Oreochromis niloticus: one gene and its partner. The protein of the gene in region 2 binds, or shares a complex with, the protein of the main gene of each other region. Links are inferred from orthologs where the notes say so. Each region holds a gene or a part of one and is shown on either strand. Other genes may lie near its edges.

What was found. Proteins that work in one complex are often made in the same cells at the same time.
Region 1: gins1 (region 2) and mcm5 share a complex: the UniProt entries of both Homo sapiens proteins name them as parts of the CMG helicase complex. The link is inferred for Oreochromis niloticus from reciprocal best matches to the Homo sapiens genes GINS1 and MCM5.

The regions. Positions count from the first base shown.
Region 1 is NC_031969.2:8,560,681-8,570,929, reverse strand, and holds the start of mcm5 (DNA replication licensing factor MCM5), read left to right. Parts: upstream 1-5,840; 5' UTR 5,841-6,016; coding exon 6,017-6,189; intron 6,190-6,959; coding exon 6,960-7,086; intron 7,087-7,174; coding exon 7,175-7,303; intron 7,304-7,389; coding exon 7,390-7,562; intron 7,563-7,644; coding exon 7,645-7,800; intron 7,801-7,882; coding exon 7,883-8,052; intron 8,053-8,140; coding exon 8,141-8,312; intron 8,313-8,402; coding exon 8,403-8,514; intron 8,515-8,604; coding exon 8,605-8,748; intron 8,749-8,866; coding exon 8,867-8,932; intron 8,933-9,014; coding exon 9,015-9,191; intron 9,192-9,272; coding exon 9,273-9,385; intron 9,386-9,481; coding exon 9,482-9,610; intron 9,611-9,720; coding exon 9,721-9,863; intron 9,864-10,017; coding exon 10,018-10,145; intron 10,146-10,249. Other genes in the region: gcat (2-amino-3-ketobutyrate coenzyme A ligase, mitochondrial), read left to right, coding at 604-817, 1,536-1,666, 1,748-1,849, 1,926-2,072, 2,216-2,370, 2,745-2,827, 2,913-3,084, 3,282-3,403 and 1 more. UniProt on the Homo sapiens protein: Acts as a component of the MCM2-7 complex (MCM complex) which is the replicative helicase essential for 'once per cell cycle' DNA replication initiation and elongation in eukaryotic cells.
Region 2 is NC_031978.2:2,104,555-2,115,169, forward strand, and holds gins1 (DNA replication complex GINS protein PSF1), read left to right. Parts: upstream 1-6,262; 5' UTR 6,263-6,320; coding exon 6,321-6,395; intron 6,396-6,429; exon of another isoform or gene 6,430-6,922; intron 6,923-7,032; coding exon 7,033-7,097; intron 7,098-7,681; coding exon 7,682-7,780; intron 7,781-7,860; coding exon 7,861-7,951; intron 7,952-8,146; coding exon 8,147-8,263; intron 8,264-8,341; coding exon 8,342-8,416; intron 8,417-8,503; coding exon 8,504-8,572; 3' UTR 8,573-8,661; downstream 8,662-10,615. Other genes in the region: lysophosphatidylserine lipase ABHD12, read right to left, coding at 21-153, 245-290, 624-654, 752-871, 1,440-1,545, 2,295-2,416, 4,906-5,078. UniProt on the Homo sapiens protein: Required for correct functioning of the GINS complex, a complex that plays an essential role in the initiation of DNA replication, and progression of DNA replication forks.

The sequences.
Region 1 (10,249 bases), on a different chromosome or scaffold from region 2:
AGATCAAACGGTATTTTTCTTTTCTTTCCGTGTCACCTCCAGAACTAACTGGAGGTCTTCATGTAAATTTTAAAAACACATGCATGGTTCATTTATTGTTTGTGTTTTAGCTTGATGTGTATTCAGTCTGGATACTGAGGGCACTTTCAACACACTGAAATAAATGTCTGTGTGTGTGTGTTTGATATCTCGATCTCGGTACCGACACTCAAAAACAAGTAATGTGGGGGGGGGGTTCTAGTTGTAACAAATTACATTGTCACATTTTTTGCTGTAAATGTACTATATTTAGTACAAAGTACTTCCTGTGATGTACAAAGTATTTGAAACGTACCAAACGTGACTAAAAGCAGTAAAATGTTGTTATAGTTTATATTAGGCATCAGACTGTGAACTACCAAAGTGGATATCAGCCAGCTAAAAAAAAAAACTGTCTGCAATGCGATTGGACCAAACAAGCCACCTGCCAGCGGCCCTGCTCTCTGATTGGTCTTCCAGACAGACGCCTACCCTTGTTACGTGACGCAACCACGCTTGCTCTTTACATTGAGCCTTTCTGTGCCACAGTTCATATATCTTTAATAGCATAACAAGTTCACCGCTATGTCTCTTGGAAAAGCTGCCCGCAGTTTGGTGAGCCCGCTCCGGGGGGCTCTGCGGTGTTCGGGCCTGAGCCGCAGCTACACCGCTGCCGCTGCAGCCCGGGCGGTGCTGGAACACGAGCTGGAGACGATCCGAGCCGCGGGGACGTGGAAAGCGGAGAGGATCATCATCTCCAAGCAGGGTCCTGAGATCAGCGTGGACGGCAGTCGTGGCAGTGAGTACTAGGAGTTTCCAGTTACAGCAGTTTTATAAGTAGCAGTAGCACCCTCCTCGGTGATGGTCCTTAAACGCACCGTCCCAGGTAAGGTGTTATTTCAGTTCTGCCACGTTCTTATCTCAGCGGTGAACTTGAAGTAATCCCTGCTACTCCCTTGTTTTGCACTTCTGAAGCTATTCTCGGGGCAGCCTTTGGAAAAACATTAACCAAAAGTATGAGATTCAAGCTTTAAATAATTCAAAATAATTTGTAAAGTGGTCTTTATGTCATCAACAGAAAGCTGTTTTGTGCTTTGTACAATGCATATTCATTGTTTGACTTGTGAAGGCTCTAGCATTTAACTGCACTGCACCAGTTAATCTCTGCCTTATTTGCTATTGTTCCAGCAAAGCAGCCGATCACTGTTTATATTTCAGCCTGAACCCTTGCCAGAGATCGACTCTGCTAATTTATGAATGGGCCACAGACTTTAGGTCGTGACCCAACATGCACTAAAACGACCCCCGTTCATTTCATGTGCCCAACAGTGCCACGGTCCCATGCATTGTTTTCTCTGTCACTCTTTGTCTTCTCTCTCTGTTGTCTCGTCTGTAGCCTAAAAATACAAGCAGAACTTCTACTCCCAGCTTCGACCTGCTCAAAGAGGTTATTATGGGACAGTGACTCTCTCTTTTTTAACCTTAATTTTCCTTTTGTCCATCCAAAATTCTCTCAGGTATATTGAACTTCTGCGCCAACAACTACCTCGGGCTGTCCAGTCATCCAGAAGTGGTCCAGGCAGGAATCGATGCTCTGAAGACACACGGTGCTGGACTGAGCTCTGTCAGATTCATCTGTGGGACGCAGGTCTGGTGCTTAAAGATCATGTATATCACCCCAAAGCTGTCTAATTCATGAGGTTAAGTTTGCGTAATGCGTGATTTACAGGATCTCCACAAAAAGCTAGAGCAGAAGCTCGCTGAGTTCCATGAGAGAGAGGACTGCATCCTCTACGCCAGCTGTTTCGATGCCAACGCGGGACTTTTTGAGGTGGGTCCAAATGGACTTGAAACGAAGGACTTCCCCCTGTTACGATCAGTATAACGACAAATTATTCTCACAACAGGTGCTGCTGGGCCCAGATGACGCAGTGCTCTCTGACGAGCTAAACCACGCCTCGATCATCGATGGCATTCGCCTGTGTCGAGCGAAGAGGCTGCGCTACAAACACATGGACCTCGGTGACCTGGAAACCAAACTCAAAGAAGCTTCGGTGTGTGGAGGAATGTAGACGGAGTAAAACATTCCTTCTTGTTCCATCGCTCCTTGCATTGTGTTAGAAAATAGTGAAAATGACACAGCTTACTCAGAGGAGGTCACACACCGATCACCTGCGCTCTCTGTTCTCCTCCTCAGTCGTCTCGTATGCGTCTGGTAGTGACAGATGGGGTCTTCTCAATGGATGGAGATGTGGCTCCCTTGCGAGGGATTTGTGACCTGGCTGAGCAGTACGGAGCCATGGTGTTTATAGACGAATGTCACGCCACCGGTTTCCTAGGGCCTCGGGGAAGGTGGGTAAGAAAAGACTTCAACTGAAAAATCCTAAGTCAGTTATTTTGCAAAATAAAACACAAGACCTCTAATCGTAAAAGTGTAATGCCCTAAAATCATTTTTAATTTCTAAGTTTTTTTTTATTTCGAAGAGGCAGAGAAGAGTGGATTGTTATTAAAATGCTTTTCAGCTTCTGTGTCCTCGTGTCCAACAGACTTTGAATAAAAAACTGCTCTAAAAAAGCTGGGACAGTGTCTTTTTCAACATGACCACTAGGTGTCGCCAAAGTCCATTCTTACAGCAACTGCCGTTTACTGGGCTCTTGATGAAGTTTAGCTATCTCCGTTATCAAGAGGTGATGAACTAATGTTACCGCTTCCCTGTGATTTGCAGAGGAACTGATGAACTCCTTGGAGTGATGGATAGAGTTCATATTATTAACTCCACTCTGGGCAAAGCGCTGGGAGGAGCAGCAGGTATGACTCCATTCTAACATGAAGGCTCTCACAACATCTTTTTATTAAGTATAAATTAGTAAAACGTTGTATTGTTTTCTCTCAGGTGGTTACACAGTTGGCCCAAAGCCTCTCATTGACCTACTCAGGCAGCGCTCGCGGCCCTACCTATTCTCCAACGCGCTCCCCCCTCCTGTGGTGGGCAGTGCAACGCGGGCTGTGGAACTGTTGCTTGCCTCCAATGAGATTGCCCAAAGCATGACGGCCAAAACCATGCGGTACATTTTGTTCTTACGAACAGTGGGAGTCTTCTATGTTTTTAGTGTTGTGTACATCATAAACACCAATCGGTTTACCTGTACGAATATTAATATCATATATAGGCTGACCTGCACTCAGTGATAAGGTTTATACTGCTTACAACTGGTTTTACCCATCTGTGAGTATAATAGTTTTCTCTTTGCTGTCAAATCAGGTTCAGGAACAAGATGACGCAAGCCGGCTTCACCATCGCAGGCTCAGCTCACCCCATCTGCCCTGTGATGCTCGGCGATGCACGTTTGGCCTCTTTAATGGCTGACGATATGCTGAAGCTTGGTGAGACCATAGACTGTATATAATAGATGGAATGTTAGCCATTCATTTTCAAAGAATTAATGTTCAAATTCTGGCCTCTGCCATGTTGTTGTTGTTTTTTTCTTTAAGTCAGACATGACCGTGTTTTGATGAATGACAACTGCTAAGTTATTGGTTTATTATGCTAGCAAGGCTGGTTAGCAAGCTCTAACCTGAATAAGTGCTATGGCTACACAAGCTAATTAGTGCTAAGTAAGACAGAAATTAAATACACTCATCAAAACTGACCACACAGACTTGCTGGACAAGCTAGAACATCCAGTTTGCCGTACAGCCATTTATCAGTAAGTCAAGGTGGCCACAAGCTTATATTTACCTCATTACAGTTTAAAATTGTGAGTAATAAATTAATTTACCACATGTACTGTTGTTGTGAAGGGGGAAACTAGCACTAGAGACCAAAAGTAGTTCTTTGTACCAGGCTAAAAAACATGTTCATTTCTGGGAGTCTATGGGGATTGACTCGCTTTTGGGGACAGCCTCAAGTGCCCGCTCAAGGAACTGCAGTTTTTTGGCACTTCCACATTAACTTTATTTTTTTCTTTAATGTAGATGAAACTGACTCACTTAGCACAGAGTATGTGAATCTGCTACTGTGTTTATACAGTGTCACAGTAGTGTCTTCCCTCCACAGGAGTGTATGTGATTGGATTCTCCTACCCAGTCGTACCAAAGGGAAAAGCCAGAATCCGTGTTCAGATTTCGGCAGCGCACACGGACGAAGACATCGACCGCTGTGTTGACGCTTTCATCCAGACTGGCAGGAAGCACGGCGTCATCTCCTGAATCGAACAAACGGGCTGGAATCAGAAGGATTCAGAAAACTGCTTGCCATTGCAGGGTCACGCTGCCTGTTACTCAAGATCCATGAATGATGGTGATGGAAATTTTAGTTACATTTGTAGGTCACTGGAGGTGAATGTTTGTGCTTGCTTAACTGATTAAAGCACTTTTGCTAAAGTGTTTGTATTGGAACAAAACAGGGCAGTTGATTAAACGCTTTTCATGAGCGAGAAAATGTTTCCACTGAATCTGAAAAGGCATTTAACCATCCTGCAGATGTGATTCTGATGACTGTGAGGATAATGGTGACACATATAATGTGCTTAGCTTATCGGCATGTGTGGTAAACATTAAACATCCTTCAAATAAGAGAAGAAAAAAAACTATGGCTTTGAGTTTTATTTATAAGAAAAGTCCATAATTCTCCTCTAAAGTTGAGATGCTAAATGCTAGAGGTGGCCGAATTGATCCCAATATCAAATATCCATACCAGTGCTGGTATTGGTATCAGATCGATACTAGCGCCATAGGTTTAATACTGTTCTCTAAATTCAGTGTGTAGCCCACTGAATTGTGTTAAATAAAATATTTTCTGAGGGGTAAAAATGAAAAAAATATACCTCAAACATGCTCTCTTCTACATGAGCTGCCTTTATAGGTTCAAAGTATCAGTATTGGTATCAGCAATACTGGTCCTGCACTTAGTTTGAATCAATATCAGAATTTACAGTGTTGCACACCACTACTAAATGAAAACCATTTTGCTATAAAATGCTTTCCTTTATATAATTTTGCTTGGATTCGAAGCAGCACTGCGCAGAGTGATGGAAACATTCACAAACATAGTAAAAGACTGTAGATTGAGAGGATGAGTGGTCCGGCTATGCATTTTTCCCCTCTCCCATGGTTTCAGTCCTCCTTTAAGTTGTACTGAGTTGGTGTCTTTATCCTAGGATGAAACATTCCCGATAGGAGAGGTCCCTGCACCAATTTGTAGTTTGCCGAATGGTTTGAATGTTACTGCATTCCCCACTCCCTAGCACCAAAACACCAAATAACCGAATCTGTTTTGGAGGAACAGGGTTCATCGCTCCAGTAGGCATCCACAGACCCTTGAATCTAGACTCAAGTCTATTCAAGGTGCTTTACAAAGAATGTGGTGGATCAACCCCGTAAGAGGCTTTGTTTTAGTTTTTCCTTTTTTATCTGTGTTTAAGCTTCATGTACATACCAATCAAGCCGATCAATACTCTTCCTTTCAATTAGATAAAAGACATATAGTGTAAATTTGAAATGACAAAGAGTTAAATATTTAAAAGTGCATTTCGCAAAGAATGACAAAGTATTCAGAGGTGTTACTATTCAATCAGCATAAACACATGACTCTTTTAAATCTGACTGTGCAGATCGTCTGTTTCCTTCTTTGTGTCTCTCTCTCCCCACGCTTCCCTCTACCCTCCTCCTGCTGCCTTTTTCGCGCCATCAGTGCTCACAAGCTCCACCTTTACTCTGACGACCTACCTCCGAGTAGCCACGCCGACCAATAGCAATGCAAGGCCTTTCCTATCAGCCAATCAGAGGCCCGGAGATGACGCCACGCAGAGGCGGCTCGCGGGAAAGTGAAGGGAAGGAGTTCAGTTTTTCCCGCGAAAGAGACGCCGTGAGGAGGCTTTGTGTGCGGCACCTTACATCCTGCTAAGTTCTTACTAAGAAGAAAAAGTCGTTTTTGTCTGGGTTTGCTTCTTTACACTCAGCTTCTCTTCGTGTCTTTTGCGACCTGGTTCATTCAGCATGTCTGGCTTTGACGACCCAGGAGTGTACTACAGTGACAGCTTCGGAGGTGGAGAGGGCCCCGGCGGGGACGAAGGTGGACAGAAGCGGATCCAGATCAAGAAGCGGTTCCGTGAGTTCCTGCGACAATTCAGAGTGGGGACCGACCGCACCGGCTTCACCTATAAATACAGGTACGGTAACAGCGAGCGCACCGTGCTGTTGTTTGTTATACAGCCGCACACTGAGTGTTCAGGATCTGATCTCAATATAGGTAATATAGCTAATAAGACTGGTGAGTCTGTGAGGATCGCCTTGTTTCTTAACTGAAAGGCTTTGTTACAAAGTGAGTGTTGAGATTTTTGCTCATTAGTCTGGCAGGAGGCCTAAAGAAAGGGGCTGCTGAATTTGGGGGAAAATGTAGACTCTAGCACAGAGGTGTCAAACATAAGGCCCGAGGGCCAAAATCGGCCAGACGAAGACTCCAGTGTAGCCCACTGAAAGGCTTTGGAAAATGTGAAGGAGTGTGTAAATGCTGGACTTTTAACTATATTTTTATCAGTTTTAAGCTTTTCTCCCCCATCACCATAACTTCTATACCAAAGTAAAGTAATAGCTAAACAGTTAAATGAGTAAATGGAACTTTTCTGTCTACTATCTGGTTTTCTTTTACAGTGGATCAATGATAAAAAAGGGGAAAAAGAAAACTGCTCTGGCCCACTTAAGATTAAATTGGGCTGTATGTGGCTGATGAGTTTGACATCCCTGCTCTAGCTCGTCTTGAACTTGATAACGTGTAGAGACCAACAGTAGTTATATTTGGGTCTACTGTGATCCCTTTTGTGAAGCATCTGAATAATTTGCCATTAAAGGGCTCTAAAGGTGTCATTTTCAGGCTCATCCAGCCTATGAATTTGCAGTATTTTCACTTGTACCTAAATCCTTTACTTAAAAATTCAACTAGAGATGAGCTGAAGCGACACTACACCTTGGGGGAGTACTGGCTGGAGGTGGAGATGGAGGACCTCGCCAGCTTCGATGAGGATCTGTCAGACTGTCTTTACAAGCTGCCGACTGAGAACCTGCCTCTGGTGAGAATGTCACACCACACAAACTCCGTCGCAGCGCGCAATCTGTCCGTCCGACGCCTTCGTCTGAAGGTCTGCTTTTAATTTACAGCTGGAGGAAGCCGCGAAGGAGGTGGCCGATGAGGTGACCCGTCCCCGGCCTGTCGGGGAAGAGGCTGTGCAGGACATCCAGGTCACGTTGAAGAGCGACGCTAATCACGCCTCCATCCGCAGCCTCAAGGTACTCTCATACCTCTTCATGTGTCATACTGTAGGAGTTACTGACAGGTTGATCACACTTTTTCTTGTTTTTTCTGTCCCCTGCAGTCTGAGCAGGTGTCTCGTCTGGTGAAGGTGCACGGCATCATCATCTCTGCAACGGCAGTCAAAGCCAAAGCCACCAAGGTGTTCCTGCAGTGTCGCGGCTGCCGCGCCGTCATCCCCAACATCCCCCTGCCTCCGGGCCTGCAGGGTTACGCCCTGCCGCGCAAGTGCAACTCGTGAGTATGATGGTGGTGTAACGTCCCTCCGCTCGAGTTCCTCACCCAGAATCAGATTTAACAAGGCTCCCTCTTTTCTCAGTGAGAGTGCTGGCAGGGTAAAGTGCCCCGTGGACCCTTTCTTCATCATCCCAGACCGCTGCGTTTGCGTCGACTTCCAGACACTTCGCCTGCAGGAGTCCCCGGATGCTGTACCGCACGGAGAGATGCCCCGTCACCTGCAGCTCTACTGCGACAGGTAAGCACATGTGTGACCAGCACTCAGCTTTTCTGCTGCTCTGCTGCTTTTACACTCATGCTTTTTCCCACCTCTCTCTCAGGTATCTGTGTGACCGCGTGGTCCCAGGAAACAGGGTGACCATCATGGGTATTTACTCCATCAAAAAGATGGCTGCACCAAAAGCCAAAGGCAAAGAGAGAGGGGTTGGCGTGGGTATTCGTGCGTCCTATCTGCGAGTGGTCGGCATCCAGGTGGACACAGAAGGCGCAGGTGAAGAGGGTTTGCATTAAGATGCGGGTGTGATGCGCTTCAGGCACGCAGAGCTGGCTTTAAGTGTGGATGTGTTTTCCTCTTTTAGGCCGTGGTGCCACTGGATCCGTCTCCCCACAGGAAGAGGAGGAACTGAGAGCACTGGCTGCTTCTCCTAACATCTACAACTCTCTGTCACAGTCCATAGCGCCATCCATCTATGGCAGCGACGATGTGAAAAAGGCCATTACCTGTCTGCTGTTTGGAGGTTCAAGAAAGAGGTGAGCTTGAAGCGCAATACATAGACCGCCACCTTTATTGTAAAAGTCCCTGACTTACCCAGCAGTGCTTTCGTTTCCTGTCCTCTGCAGGCTGCCTGATGGTCTCACTCGTAGAGGTGACATCAACCTGCTGATGCTGGGTGATCCCGGCACAGCCAAGTCTCAGCTGCTGAAGTTTGTTGAGAGATGCTCGCCCATCGGGGTAAGTAATCCTGAGTGGATTGTCGTCACTATGGCAAATCCGGTGTAAACCCCTCACACTGATCCTGAACCTCGACTCTGTCCCCTGCAGATCTACACCTCTGGTAAGGGCAGCAGCGCGGCCGGTCTGACTGCCTCCGTGCTCAGGGACCCCAGCACCCGAGGATTCATCATGGAGGGGGGAGCCATGGTGCTGGCCGACGGCGGGGTCGTGTGCATCGACGAGTTTGACAAGGTAAAAACGAAGCAGCACAAGTTGCTCCAGCTGCAAACAAGAATTCAAACTTGGCACAAACTAAACCATCAGTTGATCTCCGGCCTCATTATTAAAGATAACACTGTTTGTTGTCCAGATGAGAGAGGATGACAGAGTGGCGATCCACGAGGCCATGGAGCAGCAGACCATCTCCATCGCTAAGGTATCCCCTCTTTGTGCATTTAAAGAAAGCAAAATGTGCTCGCTATGTTGAAGGCAAGCTAACACGTGGGCTCTCCTCCCAGGCTGGCATCACCACCACCCTGAACTCTCGCTGCTCGGTGCTGGCGGCGGCCAACTCCGTGTACGGCCGCTGGGACGACACAAAGGGCGAAGACAACATAGACTTCATGCCCACCATCCTGTCCCGTTTCGATATGATCTTCATCATCAAGGACCAGCACGACCAGCAGAGAGACATGGTAAGGAAGGCCTGCGGCGTTAAACCCTCGTGCGGTTGGAGTTTTTACGGAGTGTAACTATTTGAACGCGTGTGTTTACAGACGCTGGCTCGCCACGTGATGAACGTCCACCTCAGCGCACAGACGCAGACCGAGGGTGTCGAGGGCGAGATCCCGCTGACCACATTTAAGAAATACATCGCTTATGCCAGAACGTAAGTGTCCTGGAGTTCATATATTAGTTTGATCAAGCACACAGTCATCTACTTAGTTTAAAAAATAAATAATAATACTCATTTGCCCTTTTACAGTAAGTGTGGTCCTCGGCTGTCTGCTGCAGCTGCTGAGAAGCTAAAAAACAGATACGTGGTGATGAGGAGCGGAGCACGAGAGCATGAGAGGGAGAGCGACAAAAGAGCCTCCATCCCCATCACAGTCAGGTAGATTTTTATTTATTTTAATAAATATTCGTGTAAATGTGTCTTTTTACGCCAGCTTTAGTACTTGTATCTTCTCGCGTCATCGTCTGTCTGATGTTTGGGGTTTTCAGGCAGCTGGAGGCCGTCGTGCGCATCGCAGAGTCGCTGGCTAAGATGAAGCTGCAGGCAGTGGCTGGAGAAGAGGAGGTGGATGAGGCCCTGAGGCTCTTCCAGGTTTCCACGCTGGACGCTGCACTGTCTGGCAGCCTTTCAGGTGGGCGTTGGTTATGTTTTTGAGTCTAGCGGATAAATCTGCCTCATTAAACTGAACCATATTAGCTGTTCCATTAAGGAATGTTTTGTTTTAAATTTGCTGGAAGCCAAGTGTTAAGCCTCAGCTAAGCATGCCAACCACATTTTGTGTCCAGGAGCGGAAGGCTTCACGTCTCAAGAGGACCAGGAAATGATCTCTCGCATCGAGAAGCAGCTGAAGAGACGCTTCGCCATCGGCTCGCAAGTGTCAGAGCACAGCATCATTCAGGACTTCACCAAACAGGTGAGAATATCAACCTGGGGATAAAACATTTGAACAGCGATTTGACTCTGTGCCCAGCTTGTGTTTTATGTTCCATTGGGATGATTACAGGAGTACAGTGTTCA
Region 2 (10,615 bases):
GTACACAGGTGTGTCGTTACCCCGTTCCCAGAGAGTGTCCCCAGATGTAAAGAGGCAGCGTTTTGTCTGTCCGCCGCTTCAGCCAATCATAAATGAAGAGAGCGTCTGAGGTCATCCCGCTCTCTGATGGTGAGCCTTCTGAATCGCCCCAACCTGCACACACACACACACACACACACACACACAGGTCACACAGGTGTGCCAGCTGTGTTTGTCTGCCTGCTGTACTTGGCTTATTTCTCACCTCTGTAATCAAACGTGACCACGTGGTAGCCTAACGAGCTGAGGACCTGAAGGAAAACAGGCAGACACAGTCAGTCATTGCAGCATCACTCCGTCCACAGCCAATAAGATCAAAGAGATCGAAGACTGGAGAGCGTTTCACAGACGCAGAAAGAAAAACAGTGACAAAAACAGGAAGTCCACAAACTCTCAGCTCATTAAACCACGCCCCCAAACATGCATGTGTCTCAGAAAATGTGACCCTGATCTGACCCAGACCCCTTTAAAGGGCCTGGGTCAGATCAGGGTCAGAGGTCGAGGAGCTCCTGATGAGGGTTCTGTGGTTTCTGGAAGTTTCCATAAATTCTGTGACTGACTCCAAACAGCAGACGAGTTTTCACCTTGTACAGCTGCACTCTGTGGTCTCCTCCTCTGTAGAGAGACACGAGGTCAAAGGTCAAACTCTACATTTAAATCAATGACAAAGGTGTGTGTATGCCTGCTGGCAGGGCCGGGCCGGGCGGTTCACCTGGTCCCTGCGTTTCCATGGAGATAGAGGATAACAGGATGGGAGGAGCTAAACTTGGACTCGTACCAGTCGCCTTCCTTCCCCTGAGCTTCTCTCCACATCTGAGCAGGAACCGTGTGCCTGAAACAAACAAACAAACATGTAAACAAACAAACACACGCTGGGTCTCGGGAGCAGGAGGCTCGTTTCCTCCTCACTCCTCCAGCCTCCACCCTTGGCTCATGGTCACAGGTAATCTGAGACGTCTGCACTGCCCACAGGATTTCCTCTTATCCAGGTAACTTCAGGGTGAACTCTGAACTTTCTATAGAGGTCGTGTCGGGCTTGCAGTCGCCATGGTAACTCATGCTGTGAACCCCAGCTTCCTGATCCCAGCATCAGTTGACTCCAGATAATGGAACGACATGGGTGCGTGTAAGGTGCTCCACAGTATCTGTCTGAGGGCGGGAATGTGGATCGATCAGTCCAGCACGCGTGTCAGGAAACACCTGAACCCTCAGCCCGAGGGCGAGACTCCGCCCACATGTCCATACTTTATATCGACTGAAAACCTCGACTTCCTTTAAAGACACACACCGATACACACCACACCTGTCTGTGTGTGTGTGTGTCTGTCTGTGTGTGTGTGTGTGTGTGTGTGTGTGTGTGTCTGTCTGTCTGTGTGTGTGTCTGTGTGTGTCTGTGTTACCAGACTCCGATCTTCAGCCCGCTCTCAGGTTCCAGGTAGAAGTTGTGTGTGTGGTTCAATCCCTGGTCCAGAGGTCGCTTCAGGTCGATGAAATACGGCATCCTCACTGAGGGGAGGAGGTCAAAGGTCACATACTGATCACATGACTGCTCACTGACACCCAGGATGCCTCGCTATTCACAATGCTTCCTGTCATCATTACTGATCTTTACAGTAATTAATACACCTCAGTGACACACACACACACACACACACACACACACACACACACACAGAATAAATAAACGTTCTGTTGTGATTTATTAAAGTAACGCGGCCCCACAGGTGGGTGGCCCCTCCCTCTGCTGTGTGGTTTCCACCTGAGCCTCTGTGCTATTTTTAGCCCCCATCACGTCGAGGAAACCCTTTTTATAGTTGAGCTGCACATTCATGTCTTTCCTTTTAAGGAGAAATGTGGGCGTGGCATTTTGTCTTCTGCAGTGCACCTGTGCAGGTGACGTGGACAGACTGATGTCTGTCACGATCACAGGACCGACACTTTGTTTTCTAAACTTCACTGAGTCAGACGAACTGTTTGATGCCGTCTGATTGGACGACGGACGCTCTTTAACCGAGACTAGTCATTCACTCAGGTAAGAGTCACAGAGAAGCCCATGAGCAAGCTCTCGGCGACAGCGAGGAGGAAGAACTCCCTTTAACAGGAAGAGACCTCGACCAGAGCAGGACCAGGGAGGGGCAGGCGGCCGGGGTTTGAAGTGATTCATCGAGTTTTCTTTTACTGCGTGTTAACGAAAAGGTTTTTATAAATAAAGGAGCGTCCGCTCACACAGGCCGATTCGGGACACGCCGACTCACCGAAGTTGAGGAAGACGAGTTTGGCCTGGATGGACGGACACAGCTTGATGATGAAGGGAATGGAGACGTAGACGAGCAGCAGCCACAACACCACCCTCTTCAGTTTCCCCACCAGACCCAACCTGAGCACACACATTCAAAATAACTTTATTTAAACCCCGCCTACTCACAAGGGCACACAATAACAGCACAACATCATGAATGACCCACACGTGACACGTTCAGCGTGACACGTGTGACAGGCGTGCAGATCGTCTGACACGTGAAATCTTTACATTCAGTTTGTGACGGGAACCTGATTCTGTTTGGTTTGAACTTTCTGTACATTTATTTTTATTATGACTTTTACTCCAACAATGATTAAAATGTCCTGTTATTAAAGGGTAACTGAAGCCTCAGCTGACATTAAATACACATTTCACTGTATTATTATATCACAGGTCATTTTAAGAACACAGTAACTAATAGAAAGTTTCCGTGGACTTTATTTCAGCGTCCACCACTCGACCCGATCACACAGGATTGACTTTTATTACATTTTTATTCATTAATCTGCATCTGACAACCATCGAGCTGCCAAAGACACGAAACATGAATAAACCCAGGAAACTGCAAGAAACACAACTCTGAAAATAACGCACACAACATGTGTGAGCGATGCAGCCTCACGTTCACCGTTTAAATAAAGTTTATTCAAGTTTGGTAGCAGCTGCTTTCTCTCAGGACAACATGTGAAGGTGATATCTGAGCCCTGTGTGTGTGTGTGTGTGTGTGTGTGTGTGTGTGTGTGTGTGTGTGTGTGTGTGTGTGTGTGTGTGTGTGTGTGTGTAAGCTGATCAGCTGTATTGGTATTGTCGCTGTAACAGGACGCTGCAGCTGCAGACTGAATTATTCATTGATGAGTGAGAGTCTGCAGACCTTCACCTGTCCTCAGAGCAGCATGTTTACATGCACACACACAGCATCTTGTCTGATCGTGGCTGTAATGATGAACATAAGCAGGAAATCAATGTTTTTATCTACAAACAGCTTCTAAAGCCCCGCCTCTTTAACGTGGACCTCCTCCTAACTTCCTGTCAGGTGTCTCCACAGCTGGATGCCCGTGTTTGTGGCGGGCTAGACTCCCACTGTTACACCTGCAGTACTGCTGACTCGTGATAAGAAAACGCAGCTCCGTATTTCACGGCGACTCTCTGAAAAGTGTGTCAGAGGTCAAAGGGCACCCGTGTTTGAGGTCGAGACGCTGACTCGGCGTCACGGAGCAGAACTTCTCCTTTCACAAGCTGATTCTGCAGGAAGTGATGACACATGGACTCAAACCCGTGACCCACAGCTTTAACACGCATCAGCAGCAGCAGCGAGGCCACTTCCTGTCGGCGTCTGAGCTCAGACGGTGGATGTGTCAACGTCCCAGGATGCACTGGGCCTGACCTGTGCTTCAGGTGACCTCCTGCTGGAGCTGCAGAGACTCTAATGAGGATTAAACCAAAGAAGAAGAGTGGACCTGACAGGCTGAGCTGGGGTTAAACGAGGTCTGACATTCTTCATTCTTCGTGAATTAAAGATCAGAAAAGAGTCACTTTGTCTTTTTGGAGTATTTTCTTTAAATTCTTTCATTTCTTCATTAAAGGACGGCTGTGAAGGCGGAGCCTGAGAGCCTTCTTCACCCCCAGCTGTGATGTTTAACCCTGCTGGAGGCGGTCCTATGAAGCTCTCTGAGCCGTGAGCTGTGACCGAACACTCAACTCAAACACTCAACAATAAAGTCAGGATGAAGGCCGACCTGAAAGTGTCAGCTTCATCCTGATAGAGAAACATCAGAATCACAGCAGCTTCATGTTTGTTTGTCTCTCAGTGAAGCTGCTGTTATCAGCTCATTTCTGCTGTAACTGCTGACTTCCTGTGCCCGTAACCAGAGATGACTCAGTTAAACTAAACGTGATGATGTTGCGACAGCTTGAGTCTGTCAGCTGTTGCAGGTAAATAGCTTTGGCATCTCGATGTAAAGTTTCCTGCTGCAGTAAACAAAGAGCAGTTTTGTGTTCAGAGCTTTGAATGAGGCGCTGCTTTATGGACCCGCCGTGTTCAGTCCGACCTGCAGCTTCCGGTCTGACCAGCTCGCCGGCCTCGGTGAAACCAGTCGGACCAGAAACGCCACCCCACAGTCAGATCTTGCACAAGGGTCAAAATCCCAGCACGTTGAGGAAATACCTGAGTTTGTACAAGCCCGCTCCGATCTCTCAGACGGGACACTTTTGGTCTCCTCTGTGATGTTTTTTAATAAGCTGTTTATTCAACTCTGTTTTTAAGCATTTTTTATAAAATGTTCTTATTCGAGTTGTAATTTTTAGCTTTCCATTTTACTGTTGTTTCTTCTTATTTCTGTTTTACGTGTGAGCTGTTTATCATTATGGATTTATACCTTTATCACTGTTAAATGTCTCACTCTCTTGTACAGCACTAATTATTCTTAAATGAATAAACTTGAGTAGAAAAGCAGCAAAAACAATAAAGATTTTTTTCTATGAAATGGAATTCACTTCACATCACACTGATTTTCATCTAAATAACGCGATGCTTCAACATCACAAGCATCTGTCCCGCCTCTCACCTCCGGAACGGTTTGGCCATGCTCCGGTCCTCTCCCGGGCCCTGCCGGCTGCCTGCTGCGGGCCCCGCCGCTCCTCTGCCAGTGCGCTGCTTCAGGTCCGGGTCGCTGTCCAGCAGAGTGCCGGTGGTCCCGCTGTCATGCTCCGCTGTCTGCGAGTTGGTCCGCTTACGCATGCCTGGAAACGTGATTGAAAGCGGATGTTAACCGGAGGACACCCCCGTCGTCGGCGGGGAGGAGGCCGCTGCGGTGCGGGTGACGGAGCGCTGAGAGCCGGTGAGCACGGAGCCGAGTCCCCGCTGTGCCTGCGCCGAGATCCGCAGAGAGCAGCTGATCTGAAGCAGATCTGCCGCAGCCAATCGCAACGCAGGTAACACAACCACGTGGGCGCACAGTGACGCGTCCACGGCCCCCGGGGAGCGTCGGAGCAACGACAACCAAAACAAAACCGGTTTATGAGGATTAAAGAAAGACTAAAGACGAAGGGAGCGTACGGGGCCTTCAGGGACAGCTCGGAAAGTCAAGAAACGCCCAGAATGACGTGACCAAAGTGAAGCGTGAGAAGCTGTGATCTCTGTCTCTGTGTTGGAATATTTAAGCAGCTTCTATCTTGATTTATACATTGTATTTCATTCCAATACACACCACAGACCAAAAAAAATCCCAAACTAAAGCATTTATGAATCGACATCAGGACACTGAGTATCCATTAAGTCCCAGAAAGAGAAGCCACCACAAAGATCAAGTAATTTCCTGATAAACAGCTGCAGTGATGTGTATTTGATTGGAAGCGTGGATGAAACCAACGATCACCCCAGAAGTTTTGACTTATTTTTGAGGGATTTTGCTGCAGAGGGGTCGTTTTTCCGGTGGAACTTGAACGCAGTATTAACAGTGAAGCTAACCGAAGCTAACCCAAGAAGAAGCGGCGGAGAGTGCGTTAAAGGCGGCTTTATGAACTCACACAGAGCCAGTGAGTCCGGCTCGTCCTGGTCCCCGCTGTCAGAGGCTCCTGTCGGGCTGACGGCTTTATTTTTAGCCGCTGCGCTTACCGGAAGTCACGCTGCGGGATAGAACTGAGATTTGACGGTAGATGACGGCTTTCCCGCCCCCGGCGACACCAGCACTAACACGGCTCTCTCTCACCTCTAAGTCGGGCTCAAATGAATCCGCTTCACCGCATCTCCGACTCTTTCCAGAGCCTTTAGGAATCGCAGCTGCCCGCTTCGTGTCGCGGAGTCTGAGGTTTGACCCAACGCGGCTTCCGGAGCTGCGCCTGGAACGGTCACGTGATCAAAACATTGTTTTTACCGCGAACGCGAGCCGCCCGGTACAGTAGGAGCGCGTCGCGGTCCAACGGAGAGATTCCCGGTATTCTGCTCGGTTCTGTTCGGTGTGCTCGTTTTCGAGGTGCCACGATGTTCTGCGAAAAAGCCATCGAGCTGATCAGAGAGCTGCACCGCATGAGCGACGGACAGCTGCCCGCGTTTAACGTGAGTGATCCCGGCGAAAACCCAGAGCTTCACCCGGTTTTCAGAGGCAGCGGACTCCATTCACAAACCTGATATTTTAATATTTACCTGCTGCTCAGAGCAGAATAATCGGTCTGTGATGCATCGCAAACATCCTCAGTCAGTGCAGACACAGGACTAAACTTCGGCTCAGGTCTGATGATTCAAATACTGACCAACAGACCAATGAGGGGAATTTAAGAAAACGGACTCTGAAATTGGAAAAGTGTTGGACAGAATTATGCGCGTCTTAGAGATCTCATCTAAACATGTTTACACATAACGGGCACTGCATTACATGTCGGCTGTTTTAACGACACCGATGTGCAGCCAGCAGCACACAGTTAATATTATGTTGGACTCTTCGTGGTGAATCATTTCCTGCATATGCTGAATTATCAAAGTGCTGTCAAACTCGTGTGTGGATGACTAATAACAACTCAGCCTTAAACAGGGAGAAATTTGAATGGAGTCTGGATTCAACAAGAATCATCTGAAGGCGCCTGGAAGTGAGGGTTTGATGCAAACTAGTGCTTTGTGGAGGTCTGTGCCTCCACCGGGAGCTGCTCCATCAGGTCACTGAGCCTCACTCACTTCGGGTTTGGTTTCTGTGTTTCAGGAGGATGGACTGCGACAGGTGCTGCAGGAGATGGAGGCACTTTACGAGCAGAACCAGAGTGACGTGTGAGTCCACGGCAGGCCAATCTGTCCGGGTTTCCTCAGAGTTCCCAGGGTCTGAGGGTTTGGATCCAGGTTTCTGTTAACCTGAGCTTCACCATGACCAGATTAAACCTCCCGTGCCCCCGCTCCTCCCTCTCATAGCAGGTTTTAAAAACCATGAAATCCATATCAAATGAACAGGAAGTCATGTGAAGCTTTGGGCCTCAGCTTCAGTTTAAATTCATGATACTGGGTCCAAAACCACCTACAGTTAATGTTACAATAAAAGTAATAAATAATACTAAATGCAATGAAAATTTTATCTCAGGAATTAAATAAAATTTTATTTATACAGCAACAAATCCCAACAACAGTCGCCTCAGGGTGCTTATGCTGTAAGGTAAAGACCCTACAGTAACACACCCTCCGGACCTCCTAAAAAGGAGGAACACCACCTGAGTGCTGGTTCAGGGTGTCATGAAGGCCCCGCCCACTCCAAACTGCTCAGCGGACCCCGTCCAGCATCCTCCCTGGCACCTGAGTGTTCGCACGCACAGACAGGTGCGACTGACGGCGTCACTGATCAGCTGATGTGCGTGTTTTTTCAGGAACGAGGCAAAGAGCGAAGGTCGCGCCGAGCTGATTCCCTCCATCAAACTGCGCCACTGCTGCCTGCTGAGGAACCAGCGCTGCGTCACCGCCTACCTGTAACCACACCTGCAGTCATGTGACCACCTCTCTCTGCCTCACCTTTCTCCTCGATGACCTTTGCTGATCTTTGTTGCAGGTACGACCGGCTGCTGAGGATCAGAGCGCTGCGCTGGGAGTACGGCAGCGTGCTGCCCGCCAATGTTCGCTTCCACATGTGTGCAGAGGAGGTGAGTGTGACATCACTTCCTGTGTGTCTCTCAGGTGTTAGCGCTCTCACTGATGCTCTTTTTATTGGCGGTTGTAAACTTTCACTTTAAAAGCCTGAGTAATTCGCTTCAGGGGAGGCTTTTATTGTGAAAGAGGCAGCAGAGCGTGCTGTAGCTCTTCAGTGTGTGTGTGTGTGTGTGTTGTGTGTGTTTTAGCTGCAGTGGTTCAGTCAGTATAAGAAGTCTCTGGCCTCCTTCATGCGCTCTCTGGGGGGCGATGAGGGTCTGGACATCACGCAGGACATGAAGCCTCCAAAGAGCCTCTACATTGAGGTGAGACATTTGACCTTTGACCTTCAGCTGCAGCATGACCTCGCAGCACTGACGCCGGCATCCGTCTTTGTTTTTCAGGTGAGGTGTCTGAAGGACCACGGCGAGTTTGAGATCGACGACGGCACGGTGATCCTGCTGAAGAAGAACAGCCAGGTGAGGACAGGAAGCCACTCTTCTTCTACTGTTTAATAACATGTGAAATGTTTGAAGTCATCATGGTAACGTCCCCTCTGTCCTCAGCACTTCCTGCCGCGGTGGAAATGCGAACTGCTGATTCGTCAGGGCGTCCTGGAGCATGTGGTGTCCTGACGATGCAGATGTTTCAGCAGCTGGAAAACACCTGCACTTACCTTTATTCTGGCCTCTTCTTCTGATGTGATAATAAATGTTTTTTTCAAGCTCCGCCTACTTTATTTAAAAGCTCTCGGCTGCCACTTCCTGTTCTTATCCACCTGAGCAGGAAGCAGGTTCAACAGAACCTGAACCCTGTCAGGGACTTCCTGTGTGTTTGTGTCATGTGACTTGTCATCACAGGATCAGCTGACAGATCCATAAAGAACATCCGGTCTTTAAGTCTGATGTCATCAGCTGTTTCTGGGTCCAAACTCCGCTTCAGGTCCCAAAGTCAAACGAACACTGCGGCATCACTGAGAGTTACAAACTGTCTAAATTCTTTCATCTTTAATAAAATGATCAGCGTTGCTGCTTTACCAGGTGTAACTATTAAGTTTAACATCCAGGCATCCATGAAAACAGGATTTATGAAATTTAACAGAGTTAGAAGTTAGCAGGAAGTTAGCTCACTAGCTTCCACCTAAACATGATATAGCATGTTCTGACTGAGATTTCTGAAACATTCAAACGTACAGCTCTGCTATCACTTCCAACATAAATGAAGACAGAAAACTAAACAGCAGTGACGTTTGTAGGGTTACTGAAGTTGGGCTAGCTGGTATATAATGACGTGCTACGTGGTGGCTAGCTACACAGCTATGTTAGCATCACATAAACACTGAAGCTGGAGGATGAACGCTAACTTTCTTTCCATTTCGTATAAGTTAACGTGAGGGTTCACGATGGTTAGGGAATAAATGGATTATCTCACACCTGAGATAATCCATCCACAGTACGAGGTTAGTCATTAATATGCTGCTGCATGTGCTGGGCTGTAGTTATATCGGAAGGGTTTAAAAACTGAGCTTTAAAATGAACAGTGGTGATAAAAACCGAGAGAGGACGACAGTGATCACTGACTGTTTTTAGGGGCTTGTTCAGATTAAATGGAACAAGATACAAAATGTTAATAACACAACAGCCTTAATAAACACAGAGTAGTTTGGACCGAAGCAGGATTCATACGCTGTCACTTACAGACGGGATTAGACAGGTTTATGCCATCATGGACACTTTATTAGGTCTACCTCCGAGTGGGCGGAGCCCTATTTCCTTCAGAGCGTCTCAGATTCAACAAGTTGAAAGTGTTCCTCAGACTCTGGTCCATGTGGATATGACATCATCACGACATCATGACACGAGTGCTGCAGGTTTGTCAGTGTGTTAATCTGACTACCTGTTTCCTTCCCATTCTTCTCCTTCTGACCTCAGTGAGGCACGACCACGCTCACAGCTGCTGACGTGGGATTGGCTGATTAAAGGCATCAGGTATTTCATCAGGTGTACCTAATGAAATGGCCAGTGACTGTATGACAGCACAGGTGTGAAGCTTTACCTGTAATCATACTTTGAAATCAAATAAAATGTTGATGTTCAGGTTCAGCTGATCGAGTTTATCGACGTGGTTATTGGCTGCAGGCGCTCGGCGCCGCTGGGACGTCTGACTGATTAAAAAGATAAAAGTAAGATGACATAAAGATTAAACACAGCAGAGCTCCGAAGCTTTAAAGCCGTGACCGTCGCGGCCTCGGGGCTTCCTCCTGCTCCAAACATCGGCCGGCGCTCCTCACAGCTCACACCAGACCCAAGCGGGCCCTCGGGCGGCCGGTTCTGGCCCCCGAGCTGTATGTTTGACACCGCAGACTTTCAAAGTTGACATTTGAGGCTAACAATGAAAACCAGTGATTTACTGTGCAACTCCTACACCATGATGTGTTAAAAGAAATGTATCAGCTGCAGGAGGCGGAGTCACAGAGACATTAAAACTTTATTTAAACGACGCAAAAATAAAAACAGGTTTCATTTTAAACAAAGATAATACTGACACACGTGTGTGTGTGTGTGGACTGCTTCAGTGAGGAGACAGACATCCACCTGCTCCACACAGGGCAGAGGTGAGGCCCCGCCCCCACCTGCTGGGGTTCTTATGCTCCGCGTTGGCATGGTTATGTGGCGAGC